Linked DNA regions of Saccharomyces cerevisiae S288C. The protein of the gene in region 3 interacts with the protein of the main gene of each other region in a biochemical or structural test. Each region holds a gene or a part of one and is shown on either strand. Other genes may lie near its edges. The genes, in order: SPA2, BNR1 and AIP5.

What was found.
Region 1: the proteins of AIP5 (region 3) and SPA2 form a complex in vitro, tested with the Saccharomyces cerevisiae proteins (one study listed by BioGRID).
Region 2: the proteins of AIP5 (region 3) and BNR1 form a complex in vitro, tested with the Saccharomyces cerevisiae proteins (one study listed by BioGRID).

What each region holds. Positions count from the first base shown.
Region 1 is NC_001144.5:98,525-106,323, forward strand, and holds SPA2 (Spa2p), read left to right. Parts: upstream 1-2,422; coding exon 2,423-6,823; downstream 6,824-7,799. Other genes in the region: nucleoporin POM33, read right to left, coding at 1-312; HIF1 (Hif1p), read right to left, coding at 520-1,677; serine/threonine protein kinase KNS1, read right to left, coding at 7,162-7,799. UniProt on the Saccharomyces cerevisiae protein: Involved in pheromone-induced morphogenesis and efficient mating, perhaps as a cytoskeletal protein.
Region 2 is NC_001141.2:39,405-46,919, reverse strand, and holds BNR1 (formin BNR1), read right to left. Parts: upstream 5,096-7,515; coding exon 968-5,095; downstream 1-967. Other genes in the region: AIM20 (Aim20p), read right to left, coding at 105-719; POT1 (acetyl-CoA C-acyltransferase), read left to right, coding at 5,476-6,729; SMU2 (Smu2p), read right to left, coding at 6,780-7,487. UniProt on the Saccharomyces cerevisiae protein: May organize microtubules by mediating spindle positioning and movement in the budding process. Potential target of the RHO family members.
Region 3 is NC_001138.5:176,452-183,413, forward strand, and holds AIP5 (Aip5p), read right to left. Parts: upstream 4,293-6,962; coding exon 591-4,292; downstream 1-590. Other genes in the region: IGD1 (Igd1p), read right to left, coding at 5,823-6,410; YFR018C (uncharacterized protein), read right to left, coding at 6,680-6,962.

The DNA.
Region 1 (7,799 bases), on a different chromosome or scaffold from region 3:
GAGTCCAGCAACGCGTGATTTTATGGAAGCCTTAGTGGCAGCGGCATCTTGAGTCTGCAATGGTTCATTGCGGGTGAAAAATTGCTGGTAAATGATGATACCGAAAGATTCGATGACACCGAGATATGCCGATCTGTAATAAAATTCTGACATCTTGAGCAGGTAAAGAATGGAGCTGATCAATACGACGGAATGACCGGTAAACCATGCAAACTGCAAGCTCTTGGCTACTGCCATGAACCTTTGCACGAGCGACTTATCTCTGGCAGGGAGGTTTGGGGGGCCTTGGTTATTAGCGGGTCTTGATGACATTATACTGACTATTCTTGGCTAGTGTTTCTTGCTCCTTATGAATAGAGAAAAATGACTTTTTTTAGATGTAGTAAGTATGTCATTTCAGGGATGGTCTGCTTGCTCTTTAAATATTTTTTCACCCTTTTAAAATGGGGCCCTTTCGCCGTACCAAAGAAGGAGAAATATACATTACGTATGTAGGTTGCTACATTTTACACAAAACTATCAATGCCTTCTAGGCTTCTTCTTGACCAGTTGAGAGAGATCATTGAAGTCACCAAGGGGCTTTTCGAGGGCGGGGAAGCCGATGGAGGTCGTGGGCTGCGAAAGAGGCCTCTTGGAGCCGTGCTGCTGATTTTCTTGCACCTCATCAATATCGTCTTGAATCTGTGCGAGCCTTGCCTGCTGTAACTCGCTGTCCTTGGGTCTTGTAGTCATGTGTTTTTCAAGCAGAGCCTTGGCATGCTTGAATCTTTTTAGTTTGTCCTTAGCCGGCACCTGATCAACCCACCTTAAAGCATCACACACCAAAAATTCTGCTTGTATCACCTTCTCAGTTACTTGTTCTGCGGGTTTCAAGGTCTTGTAATAGCCAAGCGCCTTCAAGTAATGATGAATGGCTCTACTGAACATCTCCGCCTCCCTTTCGATGTCACCCATCAGGATATACACATCACCGATGCGCAATCTGCTGTTCTCGGTTAGAGATTGGCCATCTGCTGTAGGGCGGCCCAACAGCATCAAGGCCTGCGCCAGTAGGTCCAAAGCATTCTCATACAGATCATTTTCAAAGTAAATGTGGAAACCAGACTTGCGAAGTTGCGATACGTCTTCAATTTCATCGTCATGTTCATTCGCTGGACTGAAGTTAGCCAATTCGTGCAAAGCTAAGCGTTCTTCCTCTTTCTCCACGTTTTCTTCCTCTTCTTCGCTACCTTCGCCACTGTCCTCACTATCACCACTGTCGACATCACCAGTCAAGTCTTCCTCTTCTTGGTCGAATTGGAACATCCTAGAATTAGGAATTTCTGTTTGACCGTTCTCGTTCCCCTCTTCTCCATTGCTCACATCAGACTCAGGCTCAGACTCAGACTCAGACCCAGATCCATCGTCACCTGCCAGAAGAGCGTCCCCAAACAGATTACCAGAATTCTGTACTTCCATGTTGTATACAGCTTGTGCGAATATAGTAAACAGTTCAGGATCAGGCAACAAACCATCTTTTGGGAGAGAGTCCAAAGTTTGTTGGCAGCGTTTAGCAGCTTCTAAGAACTTTTTCTGTGCGAGTAAATCTTTTGCAATTTGAACCTGTCTTTCCATATCAATTTGAACTTTATGTCTGCTAGTTCCGTTTGCCAACACGTCTTCTGCCCTTAGTTTCATATTCTGTTACTTCTAGAAGGAGACCTCATCGCCGATGTTACCTCAAAATTGAGTAGAATGAAATAATACAAAATTGGAAAAAACGCGAAACTTCAGTGCAGTAACATATCGTTCCGACATTCTCTGAGAAGTGGTAAGATTCCACTGCCGGGGAGCTACGAGTGCTCTTGCAAGTTTTTAGACACTGCTATATCCTTCGACTACGTAACCCCATTTTTTTATTTTTCTATATAAAAACATGCACTGTATACATATAATCACGTAAGTTCAAGTCGTGCTTAAAACGGGCACAGAAAACTAACTATGAGTTGCCGTACCATACATAAACTAGGAGAAGGTAGCGCAGTTCTTTTTTTTTACCAAAGGTTTGCACAAAAAAGATGGTCTAACGTAAGTAAGTTATCAATAAAACTGTTAAAAGTAGTATAAGAATCTTGAGATAGGCTTATTATTATGACTTTTTATGGCGGAAAAGGAAGAAGAAATACTGCGCCGGGTGATGCGTGACGCGTTTTTGGAAACGATGAGAATAAACTTTGAAGTATTTTGAGAATAATATTCTATTATCGAGTTCTTTCAGCAGAAAGCAACACATAGCTACGTATAGTTCGGTAAGATAAATTTGGTCAGAAGCGTGTGAAAGACGCTGAGAAACCACGTGAGACGAAGATTCAAATCAAGGCGTGAGGAATAACGCAATACGAGCCACCGAAACAGAATAAACAAAAGAAAAGAAAGAGTAAACATGGGTACGTCAAGCGAGGTTTCTCTCGCACATCATAGAGATATCTTCCATTACTACGTCTCACTGAAGACTTTTTTCGAGGTGACTGGCGAAAATCGTGACAGGTCAAATTCGACACGAGCTCAAAAGGCCAGAGCCAAGCTGTTGAAGCTATCTTCTTCGCAATTTTACGAGCTGAGTACAGACGTGTCCGATGAGCTGCAGAGGAGAATCGGTGAAGATGCTAACCAACCAGATTACCTTTTGCCGAAGGCAAATTTCCACATGAAAAGGAACCAGGCTAGACAGAAACTGGCCAATCTATCACAAACTCGATTTAATGATTTGTTGGACGATATCCTTTTTGAGATCAAGAGAAGAGGGTTCGACAAGGATTTGGATGCTCCACGGCCCCCATTACCGCAGCCGATGAAACAAGAGGTCAGCAAAGACAGCGATGATACTGCAAGAACATCCACAAATTCTTCCTCTGTGACTCAAGTAGCTCCAAACGTCTCCGTACAACCTTCTTTGGTCATTCCTAAGATGGCATCTATCGATTGGTCTTCTGAGGAAGAAGAAGAGGAGCAAGTAAAGGAGAAGCCAAATGAACCGGAGGGAAAACAAACAAGCATGGATGAAAAGAAAGAGGCTAAACCTGCTCTAAACCCCATAGTTACAGATTCTGATCTGCCTGACTCCCAAGTGCTCGCTCGTGATATCACATCAATGGCAAGGACTCCAACAACGACGCATAAAAATTACTGGGACGTTAATGATTCTCCAATTATCAAGGTAGATAAAGATATCGATAACGAAAAGGGTCCCGAACAGTTGAAGAGCCCTGAAGTACAACGGGCTGAGAACAATAACCCTAACTCAGAGATGGAAGACAAGGTTAAAGAACTGACTGATTTAAACAGCGACTTACATTTGCAAATTGAAGATTTGAATGCTAAGTTAGCATCTTTAACCAGCGAGAAGGAAAAGGAGAAGAAGGAAGAGAAGGAGGAAAAAGAAAAGGAAAAGAACTTAAAGATTAACTACACCATTGATGAAAGTTTTCAGAAAGAATTGCTGTCATTAAACTCTCAAATCGGTGAATTATCAATTGAGAATGAAAATTTGAAGCAGAAAATTTCAGAATTCGAACTGCATCAAAAAAAGAATGACAACCATAATGATTTGAAAATCACTGACGGTTTTATTAGCAAGTACTCTTCTGCCGATGGGCTCATTCCAGCTCAATACATCTTAAACGCTAACAACTTGATAATTCAATTTACTACTAGGCTTTCCGCAGTACCCATAGGCGACTCCACGGCAATTTCCCATCAAATTGGCGAAGAGTTATTTCAAATATTATCCCAGTTATCGAACCTAATCTCCCAGCTATTACTATCGGCCGACCTATTACAGTACAAAGATCAGGTCATTTTACTGAAGGCATCATTATCGCATGCGATCACATCGATAAGATATTTCTCTGTTTACGGTCCCGTATTAATTCCGAAAATAACTGTGCAAGCTGCTGTTTCAGAGGTTTGTTTTGCCATGTGTAATCTAATTGATTCAGCGAAAATAAAATCCGATTCAAATGGTGAGAGCACCACCTCTAATGAAGGTAACCGACAGGTATTAGAATATTCTTCACCAACTGCTACCACCCCAATGACGCCAACTTTCCCCTCGACTTCTGGAATAAATATGAAGAAGGGGTTTATAAACCCAAGAAAACCAGCATCTTTCTTGAATGATGTGGAGGAAGAAGAATCTCCAGTCAAGCCATTGAAAATTACACAAAAGGCAATTAACAGTCCGATCATAAGACCGTCATCGTCTAATGGAGTTCCAACAACCTCAAGAAAACCTTCAGGAACGGGGCTATTTAGTTTAATGATTGATTCATCAATTGCTAAGAATAGCTCCCATAAAGAGGATAATGATAAATATGTCTCGCCCATAAAGGCAGTAACATCGGCCTCCAATTCTGCAAGTAGCAATATTTCCGAAATTCCTAAACTAACACTACCTCCACAAGCCAAAATCGGTACTGTTATTCCACCGTCAGAGAATCAAGTTCCCAATATTAAAATCGAGAATACAGAAGAGGATAATAAAAGGAGTGACATAACAAATGAAATCTCTGTTAAACCAACTTCTAGCATTGCTGATAAACTGAAACAATTTGAGCAAAGTTCCGAAAAGAAATCATCACCAAAGGAAAATCCTATAGCAAAAGAAGAAATGGATTCAAAACCAAAACTATCCAATAAATTTATCACTTCAATGAATGATGTGTCCACAGATGATTCAAGCTCTGATGGTAACGAAAATGACGATGCAGACGATGATGATGATTTTACCTATATGGCATTGAAACAAACAATGAAGAGAGAAGGTTCAAAAATTGAAAAAAATAATGACAGCAAACTACCTGCAAATATAGTGGAACTTGATTTACATGAGTCACCGGAGTCCGTGAAGATTGAATCTCCTGAATCGATAAAGGAAATCACGTCATCTGAAATGTCTTCAGAAATGCCAAGTAGTTCGCTGCCTAAGAGATTAGTAGAGGATGTTGAGCCTTCAGAAATGCCAGAGAAGGGCGCATCTGTAGAATCAGTCAGGAAGAAAAATTTTCAAGAACCACTTGGTAATGTCGAATCTCCGGATATGACGCAGAAGGTCAAGTCTTTGGGTATGACAGGAAAGGCTGTAGGCCCAGAATCAGATAGTAGGGTCGAATCTCCGGGCATGACAGGACAGATTAAATCTTTGAATATGGCAGGAAAAGTTGTAGGCCCAGAAGCAGATAGTAGGGTCGAATCTCCGGGCATGAAAGAGCAGATTAAGTCTTTGGGTATGACAGGAAAAATTACAGCTCAAGAATCAATCAAGTCCCCGGAAGCGGCTAGGAAGTTGGCGTCATCAGGAGAAGTTGACAAAATTGAATCTCCAAGAATGGTAAGGGAAAGCGAGTCCTTGGAGGCAGTAGGCAATACTATCCCCTCAAACATGACAGTGAAAATGGAATCCCCAAATTTAAAGGGAAATACTGTGTCTGAACCTCAAGAAATAAGGAGAGACATTGCCTCCTCAGAGCCGATAGAGAATGTTGACCCCCCAAAAGTACTAAAAAAGATTGTCTTTCCAAAGGCTGTTAATAGAACTGGATCACCAAAATCAGTCGAAAAGACTCCATCTTCAGCTACACTGAAAAAGAGCGGGCTCCCAGAACCGAATAGCCAAATTGTTTCTCCTGAATTGGCAAAAAATTCACCTCTAGCACCGATAAAGAAAAATGTCGAGTTACGAGAAACTAATAAACCACATACTGAGACTATCACTTCTGTGGAACCAACAAACAAGGATGCCAATACTTCTTGGAGAGACGCCGACTTAAACCGTACGATCAAACGAGAGGAGGAGGACGAAGATTTTGATAGAGTGAACCACAATATCCAGATCACTGGTGCATATACGAAAACTGGAAAAATTGATTATCATAAAATACCTGTTGATCGTAAAGCAAAAAGCGAAGCAGAAGTGCATACTTCCGAGGAAGATATTGATGAATCAAATAATGTTAATGGAAAAAGAGCTGATGCCCAAATACACATCACTGAAAGAAAGCATGCTTTCGTAAATCCAACTGAAAATTCACAGGTAAAAAAGACGAGCCACTCACCATTTTTAAACAGTAAACCGGTTCAATACGAGAACTCAGAGTCGAACGGCGGCATTAACAACCACATAAAGATAAAAAATACTGGAGAAACTACGGCACATGACGAGAAACATTATAGTGATGATGATGATTCTAGCTATCAATTTGTTCCCATGAAACATGAAGAACAAGAACAAGAACAAAACAGAAGTGAGGAAGAGGAAAGTGAAGATGACGATGAAGAGGAAGAAGACAGTGATTTTGATGTGGATACATTTGACATTGAAAATCCGGATAATACACTATCAGAGTTACTATTGTATTTAGAACATCAAACAATGGACGTCATATCCACGATTCAATCGCTTTTGACATCGATCAAGAAACCACAGGTGACGAAGGGTAATTTGAGGGGAGAATCGAATGCAATCAACCAAGTCATAGGTCAAATGGTGGACGCTACTAGCATATCAATGGAGCAAAGCAGAAATGCCAATTTGAAGAAACACGGTGATTGGGTGGTGCAAAGTCTAAGAGACTGTTCGCGTAGAATGACAATTTTGTGCCAATTAACTGGCGATGGAATACTAGCGAAGGAAAAGAGCGATCAAGATTATGCTGACAAAAACTTCAAACAGCGGTTGGCAGGGATTGCGTTTGATGTTGCCAAATGTACAAAGGAGCTGGTAAAAACTGTAGAAGAGGCAAGTTTGAAGGACGAAATAAATTATTTGAATTCGAAGTTGAAGTAAAGTTAGTAGTATCTAGAGGAGAAAGAAAAGGAAGACAAAGACAATCAATAGAATGTATTATGTATGACATATAATAATAATAATTATAATAATAATAATAATAGTAGTAGCAGTAATAATAATATTATTATAGTATATTAAAACAACAAAAAATTAGTAAAAATACTATAAATGTTTGAATATGAAGATATATATGTAGGAAGAATTTTTATTGAATATAGAAATTTAAAGAAATATTATTAAAAACCGGAAAATGAAAAAGAAGAGTTAAAAAAAAAAAAAACGGAACTAGTAAAAGATGTGAAAAAAAGAAGAGAAAAGTAGAACGAGAACACCCACTATCCTTGGGTATTATTATAAGTTGCAATACCATCATCCAGTATGCCCAGATTAAACCATTCATGGTCCAGAGCGTCCTTTGCGGTAATCCTTTTTGTTGGGTCGAACTCAAACATTTTCCTGAGTAGATCGATGAACCAGTACCAAAACAAGAAAGTTTCCTTATCGAGTTCATCAGTAGTTGAGGAAGAAGAGGAATGTGTTTGTCTTTTCCATGCCAATTTCGAATTTATCAAAGACCAGTTTTTCTCCGGCGGTAGATTCCAATTGATGCTTAAGCTATCGCCGTAATCCTGTTTCAAGACCTTTGAGATGTAAATATCTAAGCGATCACATGACTGCAAGACCCTTTTCATTGACTTTTCGGTGGTTATGGTATCTCCGCGTTTATTTTTTTCAGGCCATTGTAAGCTTAAAGTTTTTCTGTCGAAATGCTTTATCACCGTTGAATTTAGGTCTGATGGAGAGTTGCCCAATTTATGTTTAGATTTGTAAAACATCTTATCAATAATGTCTGTGGGGAAAGGGGTTCCATTGATTCGTTGCATCATAGCCATATGTTCTAGATTTTCATGAATGGGGTAAAGAGATTCGCCAATAACCAGTTCTACTAGGACACACGCGATGGACCAAATGT
Region 2 (7,515 bases), on a different chromosome or scaffold from region 3:
TATCCTTTATTATTATTTTATTTTTATCGTTATTACAAGTGGTCTGGGTATCTATACAAATGCAAAACTATGTAGGTACGTTTATATATCTATATGCATATATATTAGTGTGGCCGTAAGCTGTCAATAAATTCTCTCTTGTTGACAGTATAATTCGTAAAATCGTTTTCATATGGGTCATCCAGTTTTATTTCTTCGTGTAACGCAGTATTTTCTGTGCTCGATGACAAGTTTGACGTAGAAGCTGATCTCAAACTACTCGTTTCTTTGCGCGATAGCGTCAGTGGATACATAAAACTATAGGAAGGATCTCTGACCATCCCATAATTCACCTTTTCGCCGCTGAAAATGACGGGGACATTGGTATATGCAGTGCTCTGCTTTTTTGGACGCAAAGTCCCCATACTAGCGTTCAATTGCCTTCTGTATGCTGGTGTGTACCCTGCCTTGGCGGTTTTTTCTTGGCAGGGTTTAAGATCCTGGTTTGCTTCCTTTTCGTTTATCGTGGAAGCTTCACTTGAGCTGTTAATTTCGGCTTTAAAACCATCATATACCGACACTGCCACTTCTTCCATTACCATCTTCTCCAAATCAGCATCTCTAATCTCTTCTTTTTTGTAACGTCGTTGTAATTTACACCAAAATATCAGGGCTATTATTACGCCCACAGCAATTGGAATCCCAACTGCCGTTCCCACTGCCACAGACACATTGCCCATCTTTATTCAATAGTCTGTTTTGATGATTGAAAAGTAGATTGTTTTGAGCTAAAAATTCGATGCTTTCTGTGCTTATTTTGAAATTTATTAATGAATCTGTCCATCTCCAAATCTTAGTTCTTAACTAGGAAATTTGTCAACACGACCACCGCCCGAAAAGGGAAAATATTTCCCTTTTGAGAAGCGATTGCGAATATTGTCCATTTCTTTATATAAGCTCCACAACTACATAAAATACTAAGTCTTCACTATATATTTTGAATATCGTTCAGCATAGCATGCGTTCTCTCTAGTAAAACGTGATCTTCATCCTTTCTCGTTTTTACATCTCCTTCATGTACGTTAATGGCTATTTCATTGAGTTTTGTACTCTTTCTTCTTCTTAGAGGTTCTGGATCCTTCTTTACTTCGCGTAATTTAGATATGAGTAGATCAACAGCATCCCTGTTTACTTTTTCACCATCGTTTTCATCACTTCCATTGCTTTTCTTATTACTGCTTGTCCTCATATCTAACAAGCTCTTCCTTTGTTCGTACACTCTTTCCATTTCCTCCTTTTCAATGTTTTCCTTGGCACATTTCTTAAACATGGCTAAAAATTCAATAAAGGGTTGGAAAAATTCGTTTTTACTCTCTTTATCTTTGGGATCTTCACCGTAATATTTCATCAGTTTATTCAAATCTATTAAAGTTAATTTACATTGACCAATCAATAATTCACTTTTTGTTTTGGCCCGATTAATCTTAAACTTGACCTTTTTAATAATTTGATCTCTGGGGTCTAAGTTCTCCTCTTTGGATAGCTTTCCTACTTGAAACTGAGTAACTAAATCCTCAATTTTTTTATGAAATTCATGACACTCTGATTCAACGTGTTCTAGTGAGATTTTACCTAAATCTTCAATGTTCTTCAAATCATCCACAAAACCGTATATATCAGGATATTTTATTCTTATGACTTTTTCAATAAAATGCAAAAATGATACATTTTGATCAATACTGGATCTGACAAAGGCAAGTTTAGTCAATGACTTCAATTTGATACCCTTAACAATTCTTTTATTCATATGATTGCCTATTTCCGTGATAATAAACATCAAACTTTTAAATTTAGGTGAACGATTTAAGTGTGAAATTGCATCATCAATTTTTTGTAACTTGAAAATCAAATCGTAATAATCTCTCTCGTATGTTGACAATGTCAGCAGACTCTTTGATCTTGCATTCCAATAAAATCTTAAATTGATACACAACTCCAAAAATATTCTGTCAGCTCTTTGTAAGTCACTTACTGCTTTACCATCCTTACCCTGTGAATATGGCTCGTACTTATTAAGCATACTTTTTGGTATATTTACTAACTCTTCTTTACAAAAAAATTTCAGTATGTTAACATTTTGGACAATGTCGTTATCACAGTTCAATACTTTCATAACAAATTCCATATCAGATAATTGGGAAAACATGTGTAAATTAATACCAAATTGCTGAGCCAAATCTCTTGATAAGAATGAAATTTTCTTCAGCTCATTGGAAGACTTGCCATTGTTTGAAGACAAGGCAATTGAGGATTCTGCGTTCCTTTTATTTGCAATCTTAGTCGGACTTTTCATCTTAAAAATATCTTCAATCTGAGAGAATATACCATCAGTTTGTAATTCTTTGATTGTTTCTTGGCGTTGAAACGTGTCTTCCCAAAGTGTGTCTTTGATATCCTCCACCTTATCCCAGTGGATTTGCTTCAATCGCTTTTCAGTTGGAGGTGGTTTTAAATCGGTTGTCGTTGGATTGATAGACACTGAGGAGGAAGAAAGAAGACCATTTGGTAAAGGTGGAGCTGGAGGAGTAACTAAATCGTGATTGGAGGGGCCTTTGTTCATCGACAAGGACTCGGGTAAAGGCGGTGGCGGTGGTGGTGGTGGAACGGCGCCACAAGTTTTAGTTTTAAATAGATCTGGAAGGGGTGGCGGTGCAGGTGCTGCAATACAGGAAACACCATCCGGTTTAGCTTCTGCTTCAGTCAAAAGAGACTGTGGAAGTGGAGGAGGGGGAGGTGGAGGAGGGGGCGGTGGAAGTTGAGGTAGTTTAACAACTTCAGGTACTAGTTGGATTCCATTATCAAGACTATCTGAGGAAAGTCGAGGGAAAAGTTTTGGTGAAGAAGAAACCGAAGACAACACGGGAGACGATTGGTAATTAGGTTGTGTTCCTAGGCTATTTGAAAATTCCAACTCTGAAAGTATCGAATTTAGAGAGACATTTTGCATATTAGTAATATTTTTCATAGAAGGGATATTAAAATTAATGGTTGACGTAGATCTTTGAAATAATGAGTCTTTTGATTTATCTTCGGATTCATTTTGGGACTCATTTTCGTTATTTGCATCAGTTAAATATGATGAAAGGGACGTAACTCTTTTACTTTTTAGTAGACTAGTTGAACGCTTGGGCAGAGAAATTTTTTGCTGCTGCTGTTGCTTTTTTGCTAAATTTTGGAAAATGATATTTCCATGACTATTATTTTTTATTATCGAGCCGGCAATACTCAAGTTGCTACTTGCCAATGAAGGTGGCTGGTCATATAACCTTTGATGCGTGGTAATTTGGTCTAGTCTTTTCTTGGTTGCCTTCAACTGCAGTTTCAGATTTTCAATTTCCTTGGTTTTCAGAGATATCAAAGATTCACTTTCATCTAGTTTTGCTATTAAATGATCTTTATCATGATTTTCTACTAAATTTAATTTTTCATTCAAATGAGAAATCTTAGCATTAAGATCATCAATTTCTGTGACCGCTCTTCTAGCAATTTCATCAGATTGTAGAGAATCCAACAATTTATTAACAGAATCTTGAAAAACATAATCCACATTTTCTGCGGACTCCAAGGTTTCATCAAAAGAAGGATTCGTTGACACTTGAAAGGAATCTATGAGATAAAACAGCAAAGAATTTATCAATTTTAATAGTTTAATAGATTCTGAGTATGGTTTTTGAGAGTCTAAGATTTTCCACAGCGATTGAATAATCTCGTTTATTGGTGCCTCTACGGGACTATCTTTTGCCTTCAATAACAGGCAATTTTCAAGACATAGAGGCTCGCTTTCTATTCTTGCGATATCTTTTGTTGGGTGAAGCGAATTCGTATCGTTGGTAGTTTTTATCATCGAGTCAAATATCGCAGATTCTTTGGATTTGAATTGTTTTATTTGTTCCATGATCACGACACTATTAGGATCATCTTTATAGGCCAGTTCTAAAAATGTGATAGTGTTATGTATATTATTCTTTTTCAAAAAATTCAAAATTTCTAGTGCAGTCTTGTTGTTGAAACCTTGCAGTATGGAGTTTATTAGCAGTAGGAAAGTTGTCGAATAGTCTATTTTTAATTGGTTCCAGTTCAAATAAAGGGATGAATGAATTGCAATATCATCCGCAAGGATTTTGTCAAACCATTCTAGCCAATCGGTGAATAATATGGAAAGCTGGTCCCATATCAACTCACAACCCGTGGAACCCTCAACATACGTTAATAATAAAAGTAACTCCATAGAAAGTAACTGACATTTCAAATTAGAATTTTGATCCGTCAGAAGCTCGGTGAACCAGCGAATTAAAGGCTCAGAATGTAGTGCTCTTATTCTCGCCAGTGGGTTGTTCATCAGTATTTTAAAGCACCGAAGATAAACAAATTGTAATTCCTTGGATATGAGTGGCAAAGTCTTTTCGATCAATGTCGTCAAGTAAATTTCATCCTTGAGAAAAAGTTGCAAAAAGCTTTGCTTTCGCAGGAATTTTTCTAGTTTATATAGAGCCTTCGATAACTTCATGCCACCTGTTGAAAGGTTTCTAACTAGGCCATCCAAAAAGTGTGCGTTTTCAGCTAGTTCATTAGTGGCCAAATGTGTAGAGTATGTCGTGCTCGAAGTCACTTTCTTTTTCCCCCAATGATTGGAACTACGGATTTTACATATCAATAACCATTTCCTTCGTAGAGAGATGTTTTGTAAATTCTTATAAGCAGCCCCCCAAAAAAAAGTTCCATCTTTTAAAAGCTCATCAAACATTCTTTCGACGAGTGATGCGTCCTGAGGCATGCACTTCGGATTAAAATCCATTTCCGATCCGTTCACTTCTTCGGAAACCATTGGTGACGAAGAAACGTCATTAGCTGAGAAATTCTTCTGTTTCATGTATATATGTGATCCTGTACCTTGTTTCTCTAACGCTACACCGACCAACTGCAAGCCAGCGGCAACCAGCCCATCGTTCAAATTCAATTCTTCCAATTTACGGGCTTCGCTGACCCTATCACGCGCGTGAAGTGACAGCGATCTGCGAGGGTAGCGGTACGTCTTCTTGTTCGGGGAAGAGTCCATCGCTGATGATTGTGCTATTTTTTTATCTGCTTTTGTGTCACGATCATCATCACTATGTAATCTTCAAAAGATCAAGAATTTGCTAGTTTTGAACCTATGCCACAAATAGCGAAAAAAGAAAAAAAACTTGACGCGTCAACATGAGGAGGGTAATGATGTGGTAGCGCCGTGTAAGGCGCTATCAAAGGGAAACGGGGATAATAGTATTAACACCGCAGCTTTTTTTTCCTTTCTCCCTCTATTGGTTTCAAATTTATTGGAGTTTTACTAGAAAGAAGAGATATAAATAGGGTATACTTTTGCATCTCAGTTCTATTGAAATCGAATGGTTATTTCTTGTGGCTCTGAGTACAGAGTGAATATAACACTACATAAAAGCAATGTCTCAAAGACTACAAAGTATCAAGGATCATTTGGTGGAGAGCGCCATGGGTAAGGGTGAATCGAAGAGGAAGAACTCGTTGCTGGAGAAAAGACCCGAAGATGTAGTTATTGTGGCTGCTAACAGGTCTGCCATCGGTAAAGGTTTTAAAGGTGCCTTCAAAGATGTAAACACAGACTACTTATTATACAACTTTCTCAATGAGTTCATCGGGAGGTTTCCGGAACCTTTGAGGGCTGATTTGAACTTAATCGAAGAAGTTGCCTGTGGAAATGTTCTCAATGTTGGAGCCGGTGCTACAGAACACAGGGCTGCATGCTTGGCAAGTGGGATTCCCTACTCGACGCCATTTGTCGCTTTAAACAGACAATGTTCTTCAGGTTTAACGGCGGTGAACGATATTGCCAACAAGATTAAGGTTGGGCAAATTGATATTGGTTTGGCGCTGGGAGTGGAATCAATGACCAATAACTACAAAAACGTCAATCCCTTGGGCATGATCTCCTCTGAAGAGCTGCAAAAAAACCGAGAAGCGAAGAAATGTCTAATACCAATGGGCATTACTAATGAGAATGTTGCCGCTAATTTCAAGATCAGTAGAAAGGATCAAGACGAGTTCGCTGCGAATTCATATCAAAAAGCTTACAAGGCGAAAAATGAGGGGCTTTTCGAAGATGAAATTTTACCTATAAAATTACCAGATGGCTCAATTTGCCAGTCGGACGAAGGGCCACGCCCTAACGTCACTGCGGAGTCGCTTTCAAGCATCAGGCCTGCCTTTATCAAAGACAGAGGAACCACAACTGCGGGCAATGCATCCCAGGTCTCCGATGGTGTGGCAGGTGTCTTGTTAGCCCGCAGGTCCGTAGCCAACCAGTTAAATCTGCCTGTGCTAGGTCGCTACATCGATTTTCAAACAGTGGGGGTTCCCCCTGAAATCATGGGTGTGGGCCCTGCATACGCCATACCAAAAGTCCTGGAAGCTACTGGCTTGCAAGTCCAAGATATCGATATTTTTGAAATAAATGAAGCATTCGCGGCCCAAGCATTATACTGCATCCATAAACTGGGCATCGATTTGAATAAAGTAAATCCAAGAGGTGGTGCAATCGCGTTAGGCCATCCCTTGGGTTGTACTGGCGCAAGGCAAGTAGCTACCATACTAAGAGAACTGAAAAAGGATCAAATCGGGGTTGTTAGTATGTGTATCGGTACTGGTATGGGTGCCGCCGCCATCTTTATTAAAGAATAGTTTTAATACTTGATAATAGTTAATATTCTCCCTTTTTATTATGCTCATATTTATATGGTTTTGTAAAAGCTATTACGTAGTTTATCAATTTGTTTATAATTTTCCATTTTCAATATTTCTAACTCACTAACCAAATAGTTTATTTGAGATAATATCCTCCAGTCCTCCTTAACCAATTGACGGGCTTTCCAGTTGAAATTCGCTATCACGGTGTCCATGTAAGAGGAAACTTCTTCATTACTTTTCATCGTTAGTTTTATTGGGGCCTTTGGATAATCCAAAGGTATGTTGAATAAAATTTTCAAAGAAATCTTACCGGAGTCTGTCATGGGGGAGATTCGATAGCCATATGAGGTAACGTGCTTACCCTTTTTAAACAGTTTAAAATCGGATAAGGTGTGAATGCATTGTTCGATTTCTTCTTGCCTTTTTGCGATTTGTTTTCGCTCTTCTACATTAATTTCCTTTGAGTAGTGTAGGGTATTCTTTTTATTAGCTCCATTATTGTTTTTCCGCCTTCTGTTTTTCGCTTGAGATTTCTCGACTCTCACTTCTTCCCCTCCAGTCACAGGTTTAGGTTCATTTTGTTCCTTTGTCTCTGTCTTCTTATTTCTGTTTCGATTTTTATTCCGCTTTTTATTTCCATTTTTAGCTTTATTTGTGCTCTCCTCATTCCCGATTGGAGTTCCTTCGTTTCCCAAACCAGAAGCTTTTCCCTGAGATTTTTTAGCTCCTGTTACAGATAGCTTGGTATCCATTTCCCTCACTACTTCTTTTTGAGAACAC
Region 3 (6,962 bases):
GCTAACTAGTATATTTGGAGTTTAGATATATAGATATAAGTCAATGAAAAAAAAAGTGGAAGGTAATAAGAAGAACCGTTGCGGGAAGAAAAGAAGGAGTTTATGTTTATATACACCGGTGTAGGCTGTGCGTTGGTGTGAACACTTCCTGTTGCTGTTGCTGTTGAAGCCGTCTCCGCATGCAACTGTAGTCATACAGCCTCTTGTCTGCCCTTATTCAATTGACCAGCTAACAATAGCTTCGCTTTCTTTCTGAAAAATCCTCCAAGGGGTATTACTTGTGGGGGGTTCCAGGAACCCATAGGCCGGGGCATGTTTCACGGGAAGTTCTGTGGCAGGAAATGGTCCCTGAGTAGCCGCGCAGGTGGCTTTTGCCTTTGCCGTACCGATCGGGAAATTGTGCCCCTGAAAGATTCCGTTTACGGCGCTTCTGTGCAACCTCTTTGGGCAAGCTTTGCTCCTGTCAATAGAGCAATTATTTGACAAGGTTTCTTTTACCTTGTTTTATGTGGGTTAAACGTGGGAGGAGAACTATAAATCACATGTGCTGTCAAGAGATTATGTTAGTTACGTAGCGCGCTTAAGCTTTCTTAAATAGTATCGTAAATGAGTTCCCGCAATTTGTAGTCTTCGTTAGCTTCTTCTATTTCTTCCCAGTTCCCGATTAAGTCATTGTGTCCTCTGACCACACCTGGAAGACTCCTACCCTTGCTGAAAGTCTTCCAAACTTTTCTCGCTTCATCATCTGTGCCAAGATCTCTGTAGGTGAACGGGATTCGGTTGGCCGTCAGGATTGTGCTTAAGCGATTTGTTCTGGGGATCATATGGAAACCGCCTCCGGCTAGTGACGTGTATATATATACAGGTTCCTTTTCATTCAGCTTCCGGATCTCGCTAGTCGTTATTACGTCTTGTGGCTTGTCATTGTTTTTCTTGGATTGCTCAGTAGTTTGAGTTGTGGAGTCTTTCGCATCTAGTGATTGGAGTAGAGCGTTTAGTTCAGAATCATCAACAATTTTTAGTTGCTCTAAAAACTCATTCGTTTCGTCCAAAATATCTTTGAAGATGTCATCTGCACTTGCTTTCTTGGGATTTTCCCTTGTACTTTGATCTTCAAATCCATTTTCGTCATTGTTTGGGGCTTCTTTACTGATTGACTCTGTTTCATTGAAGTCTAACTGGGATACCTCCTCTTCTTCTTGCTTAATTTCATTCTTTTCCTCCGTGATGTTTTCTTCCACTACAAGATCAGGAAGAGAAGTTTCTTTCTCTGTTTCTTCTACTTCCAATTCCTTGTCTTCTCCTTTATTATCCTTTATATCTTGTTTTTCCAATTCTGGCAATTCGACTGTCCTTTGAAATTCGTCTGAAATGTTGATATCGTCGATCTCTTGATCTCCGGTGACATCTTTGAGCGCCTCAGCAATCTTAGAATTTTCCATATTCTCGTCTTCTTTTGTCACGGCTTCCGCATCCTTTTTTGAAACTTCTGCCTCCGTACATGTTCCATCCTCTATTGGAGTCTCAGCAGGTTCCGAACATTTTGTTTCGATGTCTTCTTTTGAAGTTGCAGCAACTTCCACATCTTCATTTTCTTTATTCAGTTCAGCAGTGACTTCTGCCTCTTTTGGAGCGTCAAGATTTCCAAGCTCTGCCTTTACCTTGATAAATTCAGTTTTTTCGGAATTCTCCACTTCTGCATCTTCCTCGGTGTCAACTTCCACATCTTCATTTTCTTTATTCAGTTCAGCAGTGACTTCTGCCTCTTTTGGAGCGTCAAGATTTTCAAGCTCTGCCTTTACCTTGATAAATTCAGTTTTTTCGGAATTCTCCACTTCTGCATCTTCCTCGGTGTCCTTCTTGACAGATTCGCTGCTAGGTTCTATATATTTTTCGGCAGTTCCAACATCACTTGCTTTTGAATTTTCGCTCGCAGCCTCAGTAGCTTCACCATGTTCATGATTTGTATCTTTGCCGGTGATTTTATCGCCTTCTTGTGTAATTTCAAAGCGTTTGGGTTTTTCTTCTTCTTTGAAACTAGTAGTAGATCCTACATCTCCCATATCCTTTTGTGTAGTTTCAGCTTGTTCTGTTGAAATTTGAACGCGCTGGGATTTGGGATCTTCTTCTTCGGAATTCTCAATGGTTGTTGCAATTTCTGGCTTTACATCTTCATCGGGAACTCTAACATCTTCCTTTAGAACCTCAGGATCTCTTTCGTTGATTTGAAGATCTTCTGGTCTTCCGGAGGTACAACGCTTAACTACTTTTGGAGACTCAGGAGTCTTCGATTTCTCAACCTCTACACCTTCTGCACTTTCTCTTGCTGTTTCATCAACCTCTTTTTTTGCTTTCTCGTTGGAAAGCTCAGCAGTCCCCTCTTGCTTCTTTTTCATGTCTTCACTGATAGACTCAGCACCTCTCATTGCTATTTTATCATCTTTCATGGCCTTAACAGGTTCATCCAGCTTGACTTGTTCCCCTTCTTGATCTTCTTTGGCAACCTCGAGATCTTCAGGTATTATATTTTTTTCCACAGCCTCAACAATCTCTACATCATCCCTAGGCGCGTCAGGTATATCGATTTCTCCGACAACTTCCGTAGGCTTGTTTTCCTGAGTAGGTGCTTCAGCTTCATCTTCAAGAACAAGGTTATCTTTAGAAATTTTTGCAGAGTTTGCGCTTCCCTCTATTTCAATAATGGAAGATTTTTCTCCCGCTTCTGACTGCTTTTCATCTCCCCCCATAATTTCCTCTCCTTTTGATGTAGATTCTTCTTCGGTACCGGACACTTCATTATTTCTTACAGCTTCTTGCTCCCCGGTTACATTTTCTTTTTTAACTTTTGAAAAAGTCGAATTTTCTTCTTCTTCTTCTTCTTCTTCTTCTTCTTTTTCAACTTCTACAGATATATCGTTAGTACCGTGTTGTAGATTTTTTTCATTGTCACTAATGCGCTTTGTTGGTCCCATCGTTTCGTCATCATAAGTCTCTCGCTCAGTTTCTGGAGGGATGATACTATCACTACCAGCTGCGTTAAAATTATGGCTCATGTTATTCTCATGATTAACAGATAATTCTTTCCTACATTTTTCGTCTTCTTTATCCTTCTGTTCAAAAACATGGTCTTCTTTCCCGATTTCTGTTTCTTTCTGATTTTTTGCAAGAACTGAAGGACTTATTCCGTCTCTATCACTTTCAGTCTGCTGCTTTTCCCCAGCTTTCAAATGTTTTGATTCGTTCTCTTTGAAATTAAACCCATTCTTAGTTAAACTTTCACTTTCAACATCCTTAGTAGACGCTTGCCCATTTTCATCACCTGCCTCCAAACCGTGCGGCTCTAGTTGGTGTTTAAAAGAAGCTGCATTTCCCTCATTAACATTTAAGATCTCATTCTCTTCTCGAGGTAAGGTATGTTCTGCCTTTTCCTCGTTGATATTGTTCTCGGACTTTGAGGAAGTTTCGTCAACATTATCTTTGTTAGGCACATCTATGTCGAAGGTTTTGTCACTAGATTCATTTCTGGTTCTGATATCCATTTTTTCGACATTAACAGGCTCATCTTGGACAATATTTACTTTGATATCCTCGTTCTTTGAACCATCTTCCTGTAGGTACTCTTCAATGCCTACTAGTATGGAATCTAAAGTTGACTGTTTTGACAAATCAGTAGTATCTGCAGGATTTGAAGAATTACGACCTCTTCTATTCGTGGTTTTTTTCTTTTTGTTTTTTTTTCTTCTCGTAATTGGGCTATTGCCAACCTCAATTCCTGTGGATTCTTTGATTGGTGGTACATTTTCTGTGCCTTCCGCTACATTGTTAGTAGAAGTTTCTTTGATAACTACATTGACGTCTATTGGGATCTGTGTGGGAGATTCTGTAGCGTCATTTATTGTATCTGTGGCTATCTCTATTACGTCGTCTTTTCTTTCCAAATCATGAGAGATTGCATCCCGTGTGGAAGCTTCCTCGGTTTCACCAACAGAACTGGAAAGTTTTACAATAGTATCTCTGTCACGATTCGCCTTTATTTGTCCCTGGTTTTTCTTTTTATGACCTTTCAATTTAGAAGATTTCCTTTGAGATGATAATTCCTGTGCAAAATTCTCAGTGGCATTTATCGCTTCATCTAAGTCACTTTCTGTAAGTTGATCTCGACTTTCTATAATATCATTCGTACTTGGTAAGGGAAGATCTGTAGCAAGTGTCGAATACGAATCTCCAGCACTAGTTACCGATGGGGGTTGAACATTGTGTTCCTGATTTTCTACAGTCAAAGATTCTACCATGTCACTCTTTATTTAATCCAGAGTAATCAAGCACACCAGTACAATAATTGCTAACAGGTTTAAAAAGAGAAAGTGTTCTGGAATAAAACCACTTGCTTATATGCGAAGTGACTACGAAATATTAAGGGAAAATATACGACAATTTCGTGTTCAGAAACTTAACAAATATTTTCATCTTGTCTGTTATATTCTCGGAAGCTTTAGGATAAATTTATCCTTAAAAAAAGGACTGCGCAAGCCCGGAATCGAACCGGGGGCCCAACGATGGCAACGTTGGATTTTACCACTAAACCACTTGCGCTTATTTCTTGGAAGTGTTCGTGTTCTAATAAGGTCACAACAGCTCCAACATTAACCAGAAATACCTGTAAATAGCCCCGCCACGAGGCAACAATTGTCTCTGTATTCTTATCTTTCTCAATAAGCACTTATTAGTTAGTTTACATCCGAGTTCTTGAGCACTCCCCACCTTTTTAGTAGGTCTGAAGTCTTGTTTACAACAGCGGGCACCTCAAGATTGAAAGGAGTTGAGAGTTAGAATATATAATTTTGAAATTAAATTTGAAAATGATGCGATTACCACCGGCAAGTATTCAAAACAAAATAAGACGAGGGAGCTTCATAAAAATTAGGTCGTATATGTTGAAATGAGAGGATTTAGTACATTCTGTATTCATCATATTATAGCCTTTACCAACAATGAAACTCCAGTAATTATCAAATTATTCTCCCAATTCTCACCGAACATGCGGCAACGTTAGGTACGGATCGCGGAAAACACTTTATTTTGTGCAGAGGTACTGTCATGAATACTATGTCAATAAAAAAAGTATCGCATTATCACCACGCCTATATAACATAATCTAAACTATTCGTGAGGGTACAGAAATCCATTGAAATGAATTGATAGTTCTACACGATATCGCTGTCATTTTATTGTACGTTTCAAGTTTTACTAAATAAAAATGACATCTGAAACAGATTAAGTTTTTTTGTAACTTGTGCCCGTTGAAATAGGAATTAACTGTTATAATTGACAATATTCATGTCAACACTATATAGTAATATATAATAAAGAAGGTAACTTAAATGGCGATAGGCGGTCAACAAGTCTAGGGAATCAGAAATGCAAGAATGAATAACGTAATAGGATAGCGAAGGAACATATCAAAAACAAGGGAAAAAAAAATTGGTTCTATATCTAGATATATCTAGAATTTTTGGACTGGTTTTATCTCAATTTCCACCTATCTTTATGTATTATCTTTCGACCGTCTTATCTTTTAATATGGTGGCAGGAATACCAGTCAGACAATGATTGGATCTTGTCTCGGGTTGTTTGTTATCACGTAAGCACCACAGTCCGCTCCGTAGGAAAAGAAAAATAGCCGCCGAGCCACGGGAGCAAATGAGTGAAGAATATGCGCAACGTTTTGGTACATATACAAAAAAATGTAGAAAAGAAGCTAAAGAGATTGACGTTACGTACATATGTATGAGTGGGTAGGTGTGGACGACACTAGGGAGGCTTTACTTCTCTCCAAACATGTGAAGCTGGTTATAGATGTCCTTCTTAAAGTCCTCGTACTTAAAAGACGACTTTCTACGCGTGCCCAACTGTGGAGGAGAGCCGTGTGGGACTCTTGCGCTGTTACCATTGCTGTTGTTGTCAAGGTACGAGTTTTTGAAAATGGGTCTGTTGCCAGCACGAGAACAGATCGGTGTATGGGAGATGGAGTCACCCATATCCACGCCAGCGTGGCTCAGGTCAGAGTCGTTAGTGGTCCTGTATTGCATATTGTGGATAGTATTCTGGAAATCCATGGGTCCGCTACTCCTACGTTCGGCTCCCGGGGCGTGCTCCCCGATACTGCTTTCGCGTTCCCGGGCTTGTTCCCTGGAATTTAGTGCGTCCATATAATTGGTAGACCGCCGTCTAATCATGGGGACTGGCTTGTCTACGCTTTGAGCGGGAGCGCTTGGACCCGGGAGGTTGAATGTAGAAACACTAGGTGTTTCCTGTGCACAGGGCGGTTCGTCGATGTTGAGGAAGTCCTGTGATCTTTCAAATGTGGGTGACGTGCTCACTTGGGGCGTGTTCAAGTGGGGATCTGTCATGAGGGTGAGTGTATGCGTGTGTGTGTGTGTTGCGTAGATGTGTGATTTACTATGTGTTATGTAGCTGCTCTCATCGCTGCTGATAGTAGATCTCTCGCGCAAAAATTACTCAGGCAAACCTTTACTATACCTACATATATATATATATATATGTATATGTATGTGTGCAAGCTTTTCAGAGTGGTGCACTGACATTGACCGGGCCACTCATTCCACCCCACATCCCCCAGATCAGGGGGAGATGTTAACGAAAGGAAACAGGGGATTTATCACTGGTTACGGGAGCGTAGTGACTGTACTACAAATTCGCACACAAGCAGCGCCCAGTGACGAGTCTCCGCGGCGTCTAAGTGCCGGAAGTCATCATCCACGGTGTGCCATGTACTTGGGAATGGTAGCGGGATTGCATGTAATACGGGTACTCCGGCGGCCAGGAATGGCGTGTGGTCGTCTCCGATGACCGAATGCCCGAGCCCTAAAAATCGATAGTCCGTGGGGTCCAGATGTTTGCGTTGACGCGCGACTTCGGCGGCTAATGCCGATTCGCCGTTG